Linked DNA regions of Caenorhabditis elegans. The protein of the gene in region 3 purifies or fractionates together with the protein of the main gene of each other region. This does not show direct contact. Each region holds a gene or a part of one and is shown on either strand. Other genes may lie near its edges. The genes, in order: gta-1, tkt-1, C32F10.8 and tald-1.

What was found.
Region 1: the proteins of C32F10.8 (region 3) and gta-1 fractionate together in Caenorhabditis elegans (co-fractionation; one large-scale study listed by BioGRID). This does not show direct contact.
Region 2: the proteins of C32F10.8 (region 3) and tkt-1 fractionate together in Caenorhabditis elegans (co-fractionation; one large-scale study listed by BioGRID). This does not show direct contact.
Region 4: the proteins of C32F10.8 (region 3) and tald-1 fractionate together in Caenorhabditis elegans (co-fractionation; one large-scale study listed by BioGRID). This does not show direct contact.

What each region holds. Positions count from the first base shown.
Region 1 is NC_003282.8:10,178,923-10,184,479, reverse strand, and holds gta-1 (putative 4-aminobutyrate aminotransferase, mitochondrial), read right to left. Parts: upstream 3,821-5,557; 5' UTR 3,813-3,820; coding exon 3,773-3,812; intron 3,317-3,772; coding exon 3,207-3,316; intron 2,523-3,206; coding exon 2,453-2,522; intron 2,411-2,452; coding exon 2,313-2,410; intron 1,989-2,312; coding exon 1,650-1,988; intron 1,603-1,649; coding exon 940-1,602; intron 855-939; coding exon 723-854; 3' UTR 541-722; downstream 1-540. Other genes in the region: ptrg-1 (Tyrosine-protein phosphatase 4), read left to right, coding at 1-96, 287-420, 471-530; mspn-1 (Mitochondrial sorting homolog), read right to left, coding at 4,539-4,694, 5,496-5,557.
Region 2 is NC_003282.8:10,241,884-10,246,215, reverse strand, and holds tkt-1 (transketolase), read right to left. Parts: upstream 2,605-4,332; 5' UTR 2,601-2,604; coding exon 2,480-2,600; intron 2,429-2,479; coding exon 1,755-2,428; intron 1,709-1,754; coding exon 934-1,708; intron 850-933; coding exon 563-849; 3' UTR 509-562; downstream 1-508. Other genes in the region: F01G10.10 (BPI2 domain-containing protein), read right to left, coding at 1-54.
Region 3 is NC_003279.8:5,822,429-5,827,725, forward strand, and holds C32F10.8 (alanine transaminase), read right to left. Parts: upstream 3,721-5,297; 5' UTR 3,652-3,720; intron 3,461-3,651; exon of another isoform or gene 3,292-3,460; intron 2,647-3,291; 5' UTR 2,646-2,646; coding exon 2,565-2,645; intron 2,405-2,564; coding exon 1,631-2,404; intron 1,491-1,630; coding exon 1,414-1,490; intron 1,364-1,413; coding exon 872-1,363; intron 801-871; coding exon 710-800; 3' UTR 554-709; downstream 1-553.
Region 4 is NC_003282.8:4,384,848-4,389,399, reverse strand, and holds tald-1 (Transaldolase), read right to left. Parts: upstream 2,750-4,552; 5' UTR 2,743-2,749; coding exon 2,679-2,742; intron 1,968-2,678; coding exon 1,604-1,967; intron 1,219-1,603; coding exon 845-1,218; intron 793-844; coding exon 635-792; 3' UTR 520-634; downstream 1-519. Other genes in the region: rpl-7A (Large ribosomal subunit protein eL8), read left to right, coding at 1-1, 56-224; F55F10.1 (Midasin), read right to left, coding at 3,149-3,280.

The DNA.
Region 1 (5,557 bases), on a different chromosome or scaffold from region 3:
ATGCTCCATTGCTTATTCTGGCTCATAAATACCCACCAAGTGTTCCATCACCAACAGATAGTACTTCTACATTATCACTTTCTATTTTGTTTAATGGTGAGTATAGCTTGATATCTATCAATATTTTTGGTTCAAAAAAATTTTGTAACACAAATTTGGAGTTTATAAAAACCCCTTTGGTTCTAGTTTAAAAATGGTAGTGTGCGTAGAAACGTACATACTATGATCTGTAAATACTTTAAACTTTAATTATATTATATTTATAACAAAATTGATGAATATTCAGATGATACAGCACTTGCATTCAGTATTTGTGCAGCCACAACTTTAGCGTGTCAACTGGAGACAACGGGTTGTGTTGACGTGGTACAGGTTCTTTCATCGTATACCGAAATTCAGTGTGGTATTTTTGCCTCGAAGGTGAAAATCGAATTATCTCATTTTCCAATACCAAATTATTTTGTTTTCAGCAAGAAATCGAGATAATCTATGAAAAGATGTCACAGCTAGTCGGAGGAACACGTGTCTAAAAATTTATAAATTCAATTGGAATCGATCCGAAGTATAACTTCCCGAGAAGAAACAATAAAAAATCAATTTCCGGTGTCATTATAAATGAATATTTAATTTATTAATTATATTTTGAAATAATAACAAGCTAGATGGTCAGCGAAGCAAATAAAATGGATACAGCTTTAAAGAGAAAACAAAAGAAAAAATGATTACAATCCCTTCAAAGTCTTGTCGAGAAGATCGAAAGTCAGATCCAAATGTTTTTTGGTGTAGACGAGTGATGGACGGAAACGAAGTGAACGGTCTCCACATCCTCCACAGTGAAGTCCGTTGCTGATGGCCTAAAATTAAATTGAAGTTTAAGAAATTTAATATATAAATGTAAGATGGCTGAATTTGACATTTATCACTATTAATTCTGCTTACCAAGTCAACAAATTTGTCTCTCAAAGATCCAGATGGGAAGTCAACGGCGGCAAAAGTTCCTCTTCCTCTGGCTTGATCCAACTTTCCTCCAGACGATGCTTGAAGTTCTCCAAGTCTCTTTTGGAATTCAGCTCCAACTTCTCTGCTCTGCTCAATCAATCCATCTCTCTTAATAACCTCAACAGCCTTTTCCAAAAGAAGAAGCTTGGTCGGATCTCCCATCCATGTGTTGTAAATACGGTAAGCCTCCTTAACTCGGAGATGTTCTCCGTAGAAGTATCCTCCTGTCAAAAGTTTCTTTGAGAATGTGACCATATCTGGTGGAGAGCTCAAGTTCCAGTGATCATGAGCCCAGATATCTCCAGTTGCTCCACCTCCAGTTTGAACTTCATCAACAATGAATACAATTCCATGTTTAGAAGTAATATCACGGAGGCCTTGGAAGAATGCTGGACTTCCATAATGATCTCCACCTTCTGCTTGAATTGGTTCAACAATAATTGCAGCTACATCATTATCACGACGTTTCCATTCGGAAATCTTCGCTTCAACGTCAGCAAGACACTCCTGATCTTGCTTCTTATTGTATGCAACATTCTGGTCAAGTGGATACTTATAACGGGGGAACTTGGCAATTGGCCAGTCAAATGCTGGAATATCAACCTGAAAATAATTAATTAGAATTGTTTCGAAATAAAACTTTGAAATACCTTATGAATTGGCTTACTTCTGGTAACCGACAACATGCACAAAGATCTTCCATGGAAAGCTCCTTCAAATCCCATAACTGAAAGATTTGGAGTTCCTGGTTTCTGTTGATTCATGCAGCTTTCCAAATGAAGAGCATCTGGTCCAAGACCTCCTCTTCTCTGAGCTTGATACCAGATAAATGCAGTTTTGATTGCATTCTCGTTGGCCGATGTACCGCAAAGCATTGTTTGAACTGCCTTCAATCCTTTTGGAGCAATTGATGTAAGAGCATGAGAAATTCCATCAGCAAAGTCGGTACGTGGGAAGGATCCAAGAGCTGGACGAGAAACAAGAGATGTCTGAAAATTTATTTTCTAATACATTTCTCAACTTTTCAGTAAGTATCTTGTTTTCTTTAGTTTTATCCAAATATTACAGACAGGCAAATCACTTAATATTTAATTTTTTACTGGTTTCTAGGTGTACGGTTAATGTGAAAATATGGTCATTATGTGCCTTCCTCCTGCCTGCCTGACTGCCTACCGCCTAATTTCTGTATTTGTGCCTGAATGCGGATGCGGCGTAAAACATTTTCATGCGTACATGGAAGGCTAAGTTCGAATGCTCCAATTGATTGTAAGAGGTTCAAAAATTGATTTTGAAATCAATTTATAAAAACTCACAATCAAATGTGGCTGCGAAGCGACCTTAACCAAATCTGGATGATTGTATCCCAAAGGAAGAGATGATATTTGAGTATAGACATCGAGAAGTGCATTTCCTAAATTAAATCCTGGTGTGTAAACTGAAAATAAAAACTAACCATCAGCATCTACAACGTAATTTCCGAATGATTTCTCGTAGTCGACATGGAAACGAACGGATGTAGTTTGCTGAAAAAAAATTTTTTTAATTTTTATAAAATTTTGAAATCTCATATTGCATTTGGAATGATTCATATGTTTCATAACTACAGTATTTTTGACAATATGTATAAAATTTAAATTTCCTTGAAATATTATTTTATTTTTTGTATTATCAATGAAATTGAAGATTTGAAATTAAAAAAACTAAAATCAAATAATCAAAACTCCTGAATGTCAGTTGTCAGTTGACCAGAGAAAGTGTAATATTTCTGAGACGAATTTCATTCGTTCTGTGATAAGGGTAAGAATGTGATGTTCATGTAATTACGGAGTTGAGATGTTGGTTTTTGATTTGAAAATTGAACTGAATGGCTCGAAATTCTTCGCAATTGTGTGACCATTAAATAGCTAATAATGTTTTGTAATCTAAAATTATAATTTATCTATCTTATAATTCTTAATAATTTAGAATCAAATTGACAATGTTGAGCTTCTGTTGAGCAAGTTGTCAGAAAGTTCAGCCAAAGTTTTTGTTTGAAAAGTAATTTCAAGCGATTTCGCCACTGAATAATTGTCAAAAACTAAAACCAATACATAATGAGCGTATAAGATTTAGAATAGATATAAAAAATAAGTTATCACAATTTGAAGGTATTTTAAGGTCCATGATGTTTAAAAAAACCATTTAACTTTCGATATCTCAATTCTTACATGAACTTTATCCATTTCCTGTTTCAACGCCTTTGACTTTGGTCCAGGAATGCTCGTTGAAATACTAGGTCCAGATGGCTCGGCATTTGCAATCGCCGAAACTCCACGCACTAAAATAAACGTTTCAATTGAGTCAGAGCATTTTTTGGAAACATTCTCATGGTGTTGAAGTGTTTTAGTATTTTTTTAAAATTTCAGAAAATTTTGTTTTTTTAATCTTCCAAATTGAAACATGTGGTGAATATCAAAATACCTGCCAATTTACCAAAACTTCGATTTTATCGTTCAGTTTTTCTGATCTTTTCCCTATTCGGTTTTACTCGAGAAAAATCAATTGCCTTCGTTAATGTTTGTGATACTGATAAACTGATAAGAGAATCAAAAAAGTGTTGTTTGTTTCTTTTTCAATGTGTTTTAGGTCAAAGATGCAAGTAAAAAGGGTTGAAAATGAATGTATCTAGAAGAACTAAAAAGCTGCAGGTTAGGTTTTTCAAAATCAAAAATTATATGTTAAATTATTTCCTAAATAAATCCCAGTTGAATCCAAAATATATTAATTGGTTTACCCTGTTGGATTAAAGATGACTTTGCCAGTCTGGGAAGCATTCTTCCTTCTGAAAAAAACTATTCAAATTATTCGAAAATCGATTTGAAAAAAACAAAGAGAAAGAAGAGTAAAATTTGAAGTGGCAGGAGAAAACCGAATAATTTTTTCTCCCGTTTTCTCTTTTTAGGCGTCAAACGAGACGCAGAGAAAGGCAGGGGGAGGAGCTTATGTTTTTTAGTGAAGGAAATAAATGCGTTTTCTAGTGAAAATTGTTTGAAGAAGTAAACTGAAAAATTGGAAGCCAATGGAAGACGTTTATATTGAGCCTGTGAATGGTGTAAACTTGCTCCACGTTGTGCAAAGAAAAAGGCTCGCAGAGCACGAAGGGTGTAATCGGAAGGACAACTGACACAAAGAGATGGGGTCACGTGATCGATTTATTGTTTCTTCAGATTCTGGAGATATCGACAAGTGAAAGAAAAGAGAAAAAGAGAATACAATCTAACCGGTAATCTAAACGTACTTATTAAATCAATGCAATACATAAGAATAGGGAAGTAAAAAATCAGGAATCAGAAATATTAGTTTTTGAATCTGTTCTAGAAGCTCCGGGGAATAAAAAAAAAGATTTTCGATTTTAAGTCAAAGCACCGTTACATTTCTTTAGCTTTATACTACAAAAAGGTATAATAAATTGAGACCTACAAGAACGAATGGACTACTTTTAGAGAAAAAGAAATAGAAGTTTACATGAAATAAAACATTCGTTTCTTGAACTTTTAAGACTAATCAAGTGTTTCTTCAACAAGTAAATGTGCGGCTCTCATATATTTATGCACTGCTGACTCAAAATCGGACTGTTCCAATGGAAGAAGTTGATTTACGGAACCTCCAGAAGCTACAGTAGCTTTTGCTCGAGCGAGAAGAGCAAGACGACAAACCTGAAAAATTACATAACAACACGATTATTGGCGTTTCATTTTCCTGTAACATAAAAACTTAAAATTTTCGAACGCGTATTATTTTTTAAGCTAATTATTGTGTATCTAACTTCTAAATATTTTTAGATGATTTTGGAAGAAGTTGAAATAATTTAAATGAGTTTTTTTAAAATTAAATTCAAAATTGTAAGTTTTTTCAAGCTCACTATTAGAACAACTTGTATTAAATATATACAATTCTCTTCACTAATGTTTTTATTTGTATTTTTTTTTCCTTTAAGGTTACTGTAGACAATTATATTACATTTTATCATATTACAAATTACATTTTTCCTTTAAAATCCAATGCATTTTTCACATTAGAAACATGAATTAATTGTGAAACAGCAATTTATTCTCATGAAGCTCGCAAAACTTTGCGATTTCTGCCCCAAATATTCTCGACACGAAATTTTATGTTAACTATGAAAAGGTGTGTACCTTTAAAGAGTACTGTAATTTCAAACTCTCGTTGTTGCAAAAGTTTAATCGAGTTTTCGTAGTTTTCAATAAAAACACATATACTTATTTGCTGTTTCACTATTAATTCATGTTAAAAATGTATTGGATTTTATAGGAAATCCAAGATATATTATTGTCTACAATTTTTCATGTTGAACAGATTTATATTAAATATTTCGTTACCGAATTCCACTAGAATATATGTGACATATATAGCCACAAAGCGAACTAATAATATTACGACCATTTCGGGGATGTAATATATTTGATTAAAATTTTAAAAAGAAAAAAAGCACGAACCTCTTTCAAATCACTTCCACTAAGACCTTCTGCTGCCTGTGCGATTTCTCCGAGATTTACAG
Region 2 (4,332 bases), on a different chromosome or scaffold from region 3:
TTGTCCCGATGAAAGCCATGGTACACAGAATCCAAATAATAGTAGAACTCTCATAACTGGAAAAATAAATAAAAACTCATTTCATGTTTGCATACTGCTAGTAACGTTATATAAATATAAAAATTGAAAACTTTGGTCTTTATTTGAAAGAACCGTCTAAAAAAGAGAAATCCTCATATCAGAAATATTGATCAGTTCCTAAAAAGAGAAATCATGAAATTGAAAGGAAAATGAAAAAGTGAGGAGCGGAAAGAGGAAAAAGACTAAGAAGCCGTGAGTGTTCATCTTCTGTATCGCTTATTCTCAGAAACGACAAGAAGATGTAGATGAGAAGTGTATCAATTCGGGTACCGAACAGGTTTCGATCCCCGTCATCGCCTCGCCACAAAACATCCAATGCCCGCGAAACGGCCTTCTTATTGTCTAGACGCGTGCGAGAAGCTTATACAAACTGCGATGCACCTTTTTTTAAATTGTTTCATTTTGCTGTAAATTCACAACCATTTCAAGTAAACATAAAGGAAAGCTATATAATACTATAATACGAGGCATTAAAAATACATTATTGGAAGTTCTTGACGGCGGCAACGATGTGACGAGCAGAGATTCCGTACATGTCCACGAGAGCATCTGGTGGTCCGGAGCGTGGAACTTCCTTGACATTCAATGATCTGACACGAATCGTTGGATAATCAGCGAGAGCAGCGGAAACAGCTTCTCCTATTCCTCCAGCTGCGTAGTGGTCTTCGGTAGTAACAACTCGTCCTCCAACTTTCAGAGCGTGCTCGGCGATGGTCTTTCCATCCAGTGGCTTGATGGTGAATGGATCGATAACAGTGGCGTGAATTCCTGAAAACATAATTTTTAGTTTCAAATACAGTTTCTTTTTGAAAATAAAACTTTAAAAAGTAAAACGTAACAAAAAAAACAAACCTTCTTTCTCCAACTCCTCAGCGGCCTTCAATGACTCGTACAAAGTGACTCCCGATCCGACAAGAACAATTTTATCTTGGGCTGACTGCTTCACAACCTTGGCTTGTCCAATGTGGAATGGCTCTTCATTGTCGTAGAGAACTGGAAGTGCGGGGCGGCCGGTACGAATGAAAACAACTCCTTTTGTGTTGGCAGCCAACTCTGTTGCTCTTTCAGCAGACACGGCGTCGGTTGGGTAGAAAACAGTTGCTCCTGGGATAGTACGGAAAATTGCAAGATCTTCGAGAGCCATTTGACTTGGTCCATCTTCTCCAATTGAGACTCCGACGTGAGATCCAACGCATTTGAGATTAGCAAATGAAACAGCGGCCATACGGATCTGATCAGTGGCTCGGGTGAAGAATGCAGCGAATGTGCTGGTGAATGGAATTGTGCGGTCACGGCATTGCGCTCCCACAGCTACACCGACAAGATTCTGTTCGGCAATGAAGCACTCAATGAATTGATCTGGGTGCTTCTTAAGAAGTTTGTCAGAGAAAGTAGAGTTCTTGGTATCTCCATCAAGACCAATGACACGTGGACTAGCATCTCCAAGCTTAGCAAGTGCAGTTCCGTAAGCGGCTCTTGTGGCGACCTTGTCTCCCTTCTTGTATTCTGGGGCAGCCATTTTGATGGATCCAACATGGAGATCAATAGCAGGGGCGTCATTGATTGGCTTTTGAGCAACGAGCTTTCCCTTTTGGCTTCCGTGGAATCTAGCCTTGATGGCATTGACCTGAAATTTTTAATATGAGACTATTTCATTCTCACGTCAAACTTACTGTTCCCTCTGGGACTGGCTTTCCATGCCAATTGTCCTCGTTTTCAATTCCTTCGATTCCTTTTCCCTTCAAAGTCTTGGCGATGATGGCGGTTGGCTTTCCCTTGGTGGAACGAGCAGTCTCATATGCGGCCAAGAGCTCATCAACATTGTGTCCGTTGACAATAATGGCATTGAATCCGAAAGCGGCAAAGCGAGCTTTGTAGGTCTCTACGTCATGTCCAAGAGAAGTGGCTTGACTTTGTCCCAGTCTGTTGACATCGACAATAGCAACGAGATTGTCGAGCTTGTAGATTGAAGCAAAAGCAGCAGCTTCCCAGACAGATCCTTCAGCAGATTCACCATCTCCGAGAAGGCAGAAGACGCGGTAGCTGGCTTTGTCAATGTACTTTCCGACGTAAGCCATGCCAGTGGCAACTCCAAGTCCTTGTCCGAGAGATCCTGTAGCAACATCGATGAAGTTCAAGCGAGGAGTGGGGTGTCCTTCGATGTCCGAGTCGATTTTGCGGAGAGAGAGCACTTGCTCATGGCTCAGAAGACCGGCCTCTTCCCACGCAGCGTAGAGAATTGGGCAAGCGTGTCCCTTGGAGAGAACAAAACGATCGGCAGATGCTGATTTTGGCTCTGCGACATCGTACTTCATCTCCGAGAAGAACAGAGTTGACATAATCTCGGCTGAAAATGTTGAAATTTATCGGATTCGAGTAAATGTTGAATAATTCTTACCAGCAGACGTAGAAGACGTGGGATGTCCACTTTTGCTTGCGCAAGTCATCTCGATCGAGGAAATACGCATGCGGTTGGCAGCGTCTTCCAAATCATTGCGAAGTTGCTCCGAAACGGTCATTCTCCTGCAAAAATAATGGATTTTTGGGAGAATGTTAAAATTTTCAGAATAAGAACGGCAAAGAACATTCTCGAAGAAAATAGTGAATCGTCGGCCGTTTCACACAGGGAGAGACATACACCTTATCGTTATCAACTAGTATCATTATCATCTCAACGCACCACCATTTTCTTATCTATTATTTACTAATGGTACCACTGCATAAAACAGGAGACTGGCCGAGAAAACAACTCAAAATTCAGGCAAAAATTGCAAAGTGTTGGCAAAAAATGTCATTCTAAAGAACACCGGGCAGCGCAACGTTAACGTTTTCATCTTCGTTTCTGTACTTTGAATAAATAAAGAACTGAAAAGACAGGCCTAAAAATGTTTTTCTTGGACATATAAAATCGTGGAAAAAGACACCGCTTTCTTCTGCGTTGAAAGTATGAAAAGACAATGTCCAAAAAACCCAACACGCGTTTCATCACAACGGAAACACTAACTTTCTAGTGAGACGCAGATGTTCTGAAGGAAATTTTCATTAAAATGGAGATCCAATGACTACAAAATATACCAGTATATGAAAACAGTGACAATTCTCGATCGTTGCGCACAAAAAAGAATGTTTACCGACTAAAACAGCGGCGCTCTCGAGCGCTCTCTGATTTCTCACAAAAAAAATGATGAAAACTTTCGCGGCCATTGTGTTTTCTAGGCCCCGCGTTTGAAACTTTTTGGCGCCAAGGTGGAATCTCGAGAAAGTATCGATATCGGTATTTAAAATATGAGCTAACTTATTGTGCGTGGGGAAAGAAAATATGCTCTTAATAGGGAATTTATTGAGAAAAAAAGTTACGAAAATCTGTTAAAGAAATGCGGAAAATAAAGAAAATAAAAATTGGGGTTAAGTAAGTAAAAGAACCCGAATGAGCGTTCTCGCCTCCGGCGAGATATGCAGAGAAAGGAAATCAGAAACCACGCGCTGTCGCAAATTGGGTCAAGATCAATTCTTCCATATTTGATCTACCGAAGTTTGTAGGTCTAGAAGTGGTCTAGAAATTCTGATAATGTGTAGAAACGAATAATCGGGATTTCTGGAAAGAAAAATGCTAGTATTTTTAATTAAATTGTTATAATAAAAAGAGATGCAAAAATCGAACTTATTATATTTTGTCCTAAAAATTTTAAATCCCAAAAAAGTTACAGCATAGAGTGCAATTTTATGATTCACTATTTTCAGTCATTAATTTAAACAAGTACCACATAAAACTTAGCATAAAATAATTGTTCATTGTTAACTTGAGTACTCAAATATCACGTGGTGTCAGAATGTCCCATTTCGTTGTGATCTACAAAAAATGCGGGAGTTTAGACGTAGAGTTCTCAACTGATTTTGAATGGTTAAGAACGTGCTGACGTCACATTTTTTTGGGGAAAAAATTCCCGCATTTCTTGGAGATCAAACCGTTACAACCTGACACCACGTGAAATATAAGTATGAGGGAGTGTGCCAAGCAAGGGTTACTGTAGCTATCGTCATAAATATTAAAACCTAAATGCCATTTTAAAAAACCTAAAATGTGAATAGTTTTACATGTACATTTACAATATCTAGATTGAAGATGAATTTTAAAATAGAAAACGCGAAATTTGTTCATTTGGTGTTTTAATCTATTAAAAATACTTCACTTGTAATTGAAAAGTACCTAATCCTTGACCCCAACATATGTTATTGACATGTCCAAGGTGG
Region 3 (5,297 bases):
CAAAAAAAAACATTTAAATTTGTTAACAACAATTTTTCCAACTAAGAATTGGAAATAGTGTATGAAAATTTCAAAAATAAATTGAAAATACCAAACAATTCCGAATTTTCCGAACCATGTAGTTTTCCAAGAAACCCATTTGGAGGTAATTTTTGGTTTTATAAGATTTTAGATAGACAGTGAAGAATACTGCGATATTTCAAAACTGCGTAATCTACTCCAGTTATCTCGAGAGCCCATTTGTTTTCCTCCAATAAACTATCATTCTGTGTTACGTCAGTCGGCAACATTGTGTGTGTGCAGGCAGATTGACCTGATTATGTAACGTTTGTGCAACAGAATATTTGGTCATAAACTGTCACAGATTGGGCCTCCGTTTAGGTGAATTAGAATCTGCTCAATTGGATCGAGTGGAATGCACATTGTGTTGAACGGCGGTTCTGGACAAAGACCTTGTATTTTGGGAATCCATCAATAAGAGTGTGCCAGAAACTGTCTGAGGTCCTATTGTTTGTCAGGTGAAAGTGGCAGTATAGTCTTCTACAAAAAAAAGAATGTTAAAATTCATCAATGCAATAATTAAAATTAATCGAATCTACACAGTAAACGCATTTAGACCCTATCATATTGGCTATGAAACAAAAAGTGACATAGAAGAAAAAAAGCTGAGAAAATTGAGAAAAGAAGAATATTAGACATTGTTCAAAGTCTACTTGTATTCGGCAAGGAATTTTTGGTGGAAATCAGTGAACCGGGAGAGCATGTCTTTGAAGAGTTCTGGCTGTGGAAGAATTGTCGTTCTGAAAAAATTGAATTTACCAACAATGAATCTAGATTTATTGTATTAAATGTGAATTAGAGTATCACAAACCTGAAATGATAAGTTCCGTCTTTTTGTCCAAATCCACTTCCTGGCACGATACAGATTCCGGTGGTCTCAAGAAGTTGCATAGCATAGAAGAAATCAGGTTGTTGGTTCAAAGACTGAGCTTTTTCAACAGCTCTCTGTGGAATCGTGATTTGCGGGAAAGCGTACATGGCTCCTTGAACTGGATTACAGCTGATTCCATCAATGCTACTGTATGCCTTCTCGACGAGTGTAGCACGTTCCTTAAGAGAAGCAAGTACTGCATCCTTTTCTTGTTTCCACAGAGCATACGATGCATCTCCTTCCTTTGGTGGATTCACAACGGCATCAATGACGGCTTGTCCGAGTACTGTGGAGCACAATTTGGCAGAGATCATTTTTTTGAAAAGGACATACACTTCTGGGTCGAGATTCAAGAATTCAACATATCCTCCACGCATTCCGCATTCTCCCATGTATCCTTTGGATACCGAATGGAAAGAAGCCAATTCCATTCTGCAAATTAATATTATGAGTTTTTTAACTGCTTAGGAAAAAAAGCTCACTTATTGTATGGCTCTCCCATCTCCACAAGAACCTTCTTGAATGAATGGAATTGCGATCCTTGAGCGTAGACGTTGTCCTGAAGATGATATTTTAAATCTCATTATTTTAATAGAAAAGTGTGATTTTCCTCATTAAAAAATATGGTTTATGATTTAAAATAATTTTAATTGAAAATAGTGGAAAATTATCGAGTGTAAATTTTTATCGAAAACTTACTTGATAAACCTCATCAGCCATAAGGAACAGGTTCTTCTTTTGTGCAAACTTGATGATAGTCTCAATATTTTCACGAGAAAGTGCTTGTCCGGTAGGATTTCCTGGATTGATGATACACAAAACTCGAATATCGTATTCTTTGCAGTGATCATTGAAAGATCTTTCAAGTTCAGCTTCATCCATGGACCAATTAGACGATTCACTCAAATAGTATCCAACTTGTCCAAGTCCGAATTCTTCGATAGTGGCAGAATAGAGTGGATATTGTGGAATTGGAATCATGACTCCGACTTTCTTTGCGTTGTTATGATTGATAAAAAGTTTGAGAACATTTCGGATTGATTCAGAAGCTCCTCCAGACAAGCAGACATCTTCTGAATTGCATGGAATTCCTCCATCACGTCTCTTAATATACTCTGCCACGTGTTTTCGTACAATTTCCACTCCCGTACTCTGACTGTATGCTCCAGCGGATTTTCCTCCACAACTTCCAAGGAATGCATTTGCATGTTCGATAACATCAGATGGAATTGATTTGTCCGTTTTCATGATCTCTGGGTTGACAATACACGCGAGGAGCTGGCGAATGAAAGTAATCGGCTTTTGACCCATAGCATGAGCATCTCCAATATTAGCCTTGATGACATTTGGGAATGGCTTCTGAGCACCGGTCGCAAGCTCTTTTTCAAGCTCCACGGCACGGATCACGATTGGTCCACGAACAGCATACTCCATCTTGATAACATTTGGATTGATGTTGGAGGTGTTCAAAGTCTGAAATTGAATTTTTAAAAATACTTTGTTCAAAAAATACACAACTATTTCGAAAACGATTAAAATTGCCAATATTGTAACAACTTTTAACATTTCTGAAATTTTGCTATTCAGTGTCCATCTGATTCCTGACACATTTTGCAAATTAATAAATGCTCACCTTTCCGCTAGCCATGATTCTAGTGGATGTGCCGAAAAAGCGACTTGTGACGAGTCCGGAAATTGCTTGTACGGTTCGCATGCTGTAAAATTAAAAGATCGAGATATAACAAGTGAATTGAAAAGATATCATTTCAATTGCAACTAATTTAAAAGAAATGTATATGAGGATAGAAGGATAGACAGTGATAACTGGGTGTGATTGATAACGTCCACGAGTGAGAGAGACAGTAAGTACTCAGAATGTTCTACCGTTTGCACGAACCTAACTTTAGGCCGCGTGTGTTTGTTGGTTGAGGACGAGCTGAGTGCGCGCAAAAAGCAATAAGTTGATAGTTTGAACTTAATGAGCAAACAATGCAGAAAATACAGTTTCAGAAAACAGTAAATATAGGTGAACATTTAAAAAAAAGCCGTATTGTAATATATTATAATAACATTTTCCCTTTTCTCCGTTTTTTTCAAACTCTATCCCGCAGCACAAAATTTTAAACTTAAAAAAATGTGACACCGGATTTACGTACAAAAATTACATTTAGTTTCCAATAAATAAGTAGAAATCTTGATATCAAAGAGATTAACTGGTAGAAAAAAAGCTTTTCATAGTCGGAAGGCGGGGAAAAGGGGCAAACAAATGCCAAGTGCATCTAATTCTTTTCTGTTTTTCTCTCGGTTCTATCTGTTTTCTATCTCATTTTTTCATTGTTCTTGTCTTGATTTTCCGTCTCACACGTGTTCCAGCGTTTAGCAAAATAGGCGTTATTAAGAATTGTTAAACAACGAAAAATCCGAAAATTGGTAATAATTTTCGGTAGAGCAAATTTAAAACAGAAGTTTGAAAGAATCAAAATTCGAGATAATCACAAATATAACAATTTAACGAAATTAAGTTTTCTAATTCCTTCATCTTATCCACTTTCTACAGAGAGCCTAACCAACTTATGTAGAAGTTTTTTCGCAGACGTTTTTTTTTTGGAAAATCCCGACTTTAAATAGGAAAATCTAAACATCTATTTTATGTTGTCCAAACAGTCCAAAATACTTTCTCAGCATCCAATACTTCACGAGTTCAATTTTCTAGAACTTACCAATAAAAAAGCGAAGTGTTGAGAGTGGAAGAGAGAACAGGCGATCGATGAAGTTTTTCGCACAAGCTGCTGAAACAAATTATTGTCTCTTATCGACAATTTCACACATTGATTGGGCAAAAAAAGAAGATTAAAAATAGAAAAATGTGCTGGAAACAAAGATCACAAAAAACACAAAACTTTTTTTGTGAAAGAGAATAATTTAGAGAACAATTAGTAGAGCTTGAAAATATTTTAAAAATGGCTAAAATGTTTAGAAAAATAATCAATAGATGCGAGTTAAATATGTTTGTAAAAAGAAGTACAAATTAAGTTATTCAGAAATTTGGAAAAACCTCAATATTTAGCTTTTTTATAAACAAAAAAGGATAAACATTATTTTTTGGCAATATAAAAAGAAACCAAGAATCATGGCCGCTTTGAAGTTTCAATCAATTTAAAAAACGAAAAAAGGCAGGTCTTGTTCTTCAGATGAGGCACCTTGTTTATTCTTTACGATGTAATGCTGAAGAACGAGAAAGAAAGGGGCCCCGAGATGGAGGAAGGGACTGAAAAACAACAAGAGAGACTGAAGAGAGGGAGAGAAATATTGGGAGGAACGAAATAAACCGACAGAGGACTACGTGCCAATGGCTCGATTTTTGAAACTGGTTTTTTTGGTTTTCGAGAGAAAAATGATGATGGAGGTCTATTGTGATCTAGGAAAATAAGGATTGACAGTTCAAAGTCACGTGGCATTGAAGAAACGGTCCATTGAACACAATTCCGTTGGAGATTAAAAGTCAAATTTCGATCAAATTAGATAACGATTGTAGAAATTCGAAAAAAATTCGTTGAAGAAATGATGTCGAACTTTTAGAAATAAAACAAATAATTAAAAACCATCTTCAGCGTCAACAAAAAATATACAGGAAAACGAGAAAAGCTTCGTTGGTGTGGTAGATTACAAGACAAAGATTTTCTTGAAACGTTTCCTAACATTTAGTATTAGCCTTGAGTAATATTACGGAGGAACATCAGAAAAATAAACCCCCACTGATCATAAATTAAAGACCAATTCTCATATCACAAAGTTCTTTCCACCCAATTTTCTGCCCAGAAAAGGGAAACCGAGTCACGAGTGCACATTTATTTATATTTTGTTTTCGCAACGCCTCTGTGTCACTTTTTTGCTCTTCAATATAAAATCATCTTTTCTACAGATGATATTTTCTAGATGTTTCCTAACCGACTTTTCAGTTTATATTCAATAAAAATGAATTCCAAAAAAGGTGCGTGCTCATAAATTCAGACAGCTTGAGCAGCGAGCGCTTTTCTTTTTCGATCAAACAACATATTCCATCAAATTTCCCGAAACAACTCCGCCGTTTCTCTCTTTTAAAATTGTCTCCATCGTGCTCTCATTTTTCAGTCTTTTGCCGTTATTTAGCAGCATAAAACCTTTCAATTATATTAAAGTTTACCATGAGAAGAGAAGAACAAGAAAAAGAACAGAGATTTTCAGATTAATCCCAAGGGGATCGGCATTTGAAGCTTTATCCCGCCATTTCCCGTTATTTTTCCTAATCTACGTCGTATGTGACACGATGTTTTACTGCTTTTTCATTGAATATAATTTTTCATTGAATATAATTAATTATTTAAAA
Region 4 (4,552 bases), on a different chromosome or scaffold from region 3:
CGTAAGTTTCAGATTCTATAGTTTCTTGAGCAAATAATTATTTCTTTGTATTCAGAGAGGACAAATCTGCCTTGAACAAGCTCGTCGAGACCGTCAACAACAACTTCAGCGAGCGTCACGAGGAGATCCGCAAGCACTGGGGAGGAGGTGTCATGTCCGCCAAGTCTGATGCCAAGAAGCTCAAGATCGAGCGCGCTCGTGCCCGTGATCTTGGAAAGCTCTAAATTGTTTTTGTTGATAATAAAAACTTGTTATTCAAAGCTTGTATCTTTTTCAATAATTGGTAGTCTTCGTGGTACTCATTTGGATCGGTCTTGTTGGATATTGTTGAGAACAGTTTTCCCGAGAAGTGTCTCCCTAGTTCGTCGTTGTCTTGGAGCTTGCTGGTTGTCTGCGATATGGTTTCACTGAACAATTCTAGTTGGGTTCAATTCCGGGTGTCACAGCCACAACTGTCCAGAAACTTGCAGAGTGCGATAAGAGTTCGGCTATTTTGTGTATCTTGCCTTTACAGTGCTCTTTAAATTACATAAGGGTTCATTAAAATACGTAACGAAATATTTAAGGGGAAATCACAACACTGATGAAATTGGGGAAAACTAGTAAGCACGACAAATACATCAATCAATACAATTTAGATCTTTGCCTCGATAAGCTTCTCCAGAGTTCTGGCGTCTTTGGCAAAGTTGCGGATTCCTTCGGCGAGCTTCTCGGTGGCCATGGCGTCCTCGTTGAGAGCCCATCTGAACGCCTTCTCGTCAATGCTCACTTTCGGCAGGTCGAGTGTCTTGGCTGGAAAATAATTAAAAATTGCAATTTTTAATTGATTAAATCTCCCGCTCACCATGAGAAGTGGAGAGCACAACTGGAGCAAGTTCCGTCTCCGCAGCAAGTTGCTTCAGAAGAGCCGGAGAAATAGTAAGAAGATCACATCCAACAAGTCCCTTGATCTCTTCAGTATTACGGAACGAGGCAGCCATCACTTGTGTCTTATAGTCGTATTTCTTGTAATAATTAAAGATTCGAGTAACACTGACAACTCCTGGATCGTCTTTTCGAGTGTAGGCCTTCTGATCGGTATTCTTCACGAACCAATCCATGATTCTTCCGACGAATGGCGAGATTAGGGTGACTCCTGACTCGGCACACGCGACTGCTTGCTCAAAGTTGAAGAGCAGTGTCATGTTGCAGTGGATTCCGTGCTTAGATTCGAGGAATCTGAAAATTTAATTTTTTGCTGATTTTGAACTATTTCCGTTATAATTAATGCCTTAAACTCTTTTGAAAAATGTCAATTTGGGTCCAATTGAGTAGATTTTCAGTAGAAAACTAATAGAAACGAGACTTTGTATGTTTCGAAAAGGTATGTCCGTAGATTTTAGGTGATTTACAAGAAAAATCGAAGCATTTCTAGTTTTTAATTTAAAATGTGTTAATTTTTAACAATTTCATCTTGTATAATTCGTTTTTTAATTGATTTTTTCGAAACTAGTAGTGTTTTAAACCAAGCAAATCATCAAAAATGGGTAAAATTTCATCAAGTTTGATTTTTAAAAAAAAGTTTTTTAACTGAAAAGTTTTCCTAAAATCTCCAATGCCGTACTTAGCAGCCCGAATTCCTTCCCAAGTTGAAGCAAGTTTGATAAGAATCCGATCCTTCGAGATTCCTTCCTTCTCGTATTGAGCAATAAGTCCAAGAGCCCGATCAATCGATGCTTGAGTATCAAATGAAAGACGAGCATCAACTTCTGTGGAAACTCTTCCTGGAATAGTTTTCAGGATTTCTTTTCCAAAAACTACAAAAAGTCGATCCATAGCCGCTTGGAGCACTTCTTGATGTCCACTGGCGTGCTCTTTTGCGTAGGCAACTGATTGATCGATTAATGCTGCGTATTGCTCCATTTTTGAGGCGGCCAGGATGAGCGATGGGTTGGTAGTTGCATCTGTTGGCTGGAATTCCTTGATCGCTGAAAAAAATCGATTTTTTGAGAACAATTTTTGAAAAAAGTACTTTTTTCAACTGGAAAATTCGAGTTTTATTTTTCGATTTTTGACTTTTTACACAAAATCGAGGAAAAAAACAAAGGTGTGCGCCTTTAAGACTTACAGTAACCCATTTCCTGATTTTTTAAATTAATTTTTCACGCTTTTCATCTAAATTCTTGAGAGAAAACGTTGAAAAATGAAAAAAAAAACGAAATTGAAGGAACGTCTGGGTACTGTACTTTTGAAAGGCGCAAACACATTTTTTTCAAAATAAATATTTTTCACCAGTATTTACAAAAATTTAGAAAAAAGAGAATTCATCGAATTATCCAAAAAAAGTTTTTCACAGCTTTTTTTGGAATTTTTGAAAAATTCTAATTTTTAAATGGCACATTCCAGAAATTTACAATACTTCCATAAAATTTAATAGTATTTATTTTTAAAATGTTTTAACGAATTTTTTGGAAACTTCTTGAAAATATGTATTTTTTTCTCTAAAAAAATTAATTTAAAAAGTTCAAAAAGTCAGATTTCTATCTGAAAATCGAGAAATTTACTGTTTTTTACATTATAACAGTGGTCTTCCTAGAAAAATCGAATTTTCAGATAATTTAATTTTTTTTCAAAACTGCCAAAAAAAATCAATTATTCACCACATTTTCGAACTTTTTCTTAATGTTCAAAATTTTTACCATTAAAATCTCCAGTATCCGCAACAACGACTGATGCTCCTTTGAGTTGTTCCAAAACCGACATGATTTCCCTAGAAAAAGTCAAAAAAAAATCAATAATCGTGAAAATTACGGGAAAAATCGCGTGAGAGAGATCGAATGGAAAGTGCAGCCCATTGATAGCATCAAAGATAACAAAAACCGTATCAAAAAAATTTCAAATTTTTAATAGATATAATGATAATGATAATTCGACTAACCAATGTGAAAACAATGAACAATGAACAAAAAATAACAAAAAAGGGGGAAAATTTCAAAAAAAAAGTAACAACTCATAAAAAAATGACGATAAAAGGAGTAGGGAAGTGAGAAAAACAGTTTTCGAAAAAAAGTAACAAAAATGATGATAAAAAGGTATAAAGTAAAGTAGTAACAAAAAAACAAGAATATGACTAAATGTGTGTAGTTTGCAGTCTGTAGTTTGTAGCCTCTCAACTATGATGTGTCGTCGTCATTTCGAACCATTGACGAATCGATTCGGCAATCACCGATGGTAGTTGTTGAACTGATTTGACGAGAGCGTAGAATGGGAACGGGAACAGGGCGAGGTATGGCGTGAGTACCTGCAGGAAAAATTGGAAATTGTCAGCAGTTTTATGGGGGCAAATGGCAAGAGAATCGGGGGGTTTTCGAGAAAAAAAAGAAAGTAAATATTGTTCTTTGTAGTCAAATATGATCAAATTTCACACATTTTTTTGGGAATTTTAACACGAAAAAAAGGAAAAATCTTCAAAAATTGGAAAATTTATTGAGTTTTGAAATTTATTTGCGAAATTCCTTTCGAATATTTTGACCTAGTTTCAATTTTTTGTTTCATTTTTTAAATATTATTTTAAACACAATTTCTCACATTTTCAGACAGTTTTCCGCAAAAAATTATTTAAAAATGTGAAATTATCGATTTTTAGGTCAAAATTGAAGCGAAAATCGTCAAAATGCCAAAAAAGTCTACTGAAATTTAAATTTCAGACCTAAAAATATACAAATAATCGGCCATAGAAGACTGAAATAACGAAAAAAAAACTTTTGTAATTTTAAAAGCAAATTTTTGCTGAAAATCCTATAATTACCGTAACCTCGGCGTTTGTTCAATATCGAGAATGGAAAATTACCAGTTTTTAAAAAATTAAAATTAAAAAAAACGTTTTTTGTAGTCAAATATGATCAAATTTCACACATTTTTTGGGTATTTTAAATGAGCGGCAATTCTAGAAAATGGTCTGTTGCACCATGTTGTTCCAACATTTTTACAACTTGAAATTAGTTTAAAAATATGAAAAATCACTCGATTTATTTGAAAATAACATTAATTTCAGCTGAAGCCTTCGAGAAAATGCCCAGAAATGGCTTGAAAGTTGACTAATTTCGGCAATTGTCAACTTTCTGGCCTTTTTTGAGCAATTTCTCAAATTTTCAGTCGAATAAATGTCATTTTCAGATAAATCAACTAATTTTCTATACTTTGACACTAATTTTGGAGGAAAATGTTGAAAATGCATGGTGCTACGTCACCTCGAAAACAATTTTTTTTTCAGAGTGTAACTTCAAATAAAATGGAAAATGTATATTTTTTTAATTGGATTTTTCTTTAAAAAATACCCATAATAATCTAAAACTGGGATATTTTTGAAAAAAAACATATTTCCAGTCAAAAATAGCAGATTTCAACTGAAATCGTCTGATTTTGAAATTTTAAACATGCCAATTACAAGTTTTGGGTGAAAATGTTGATTTTTTAAACCAAAATTGGCAAATTTTCACTAAATTGCCCCGATTTCTAGCTAAAAAAATCCTGGAATGTTGAAAATGTGATTTTTTGAATGAAAATTTGCGAA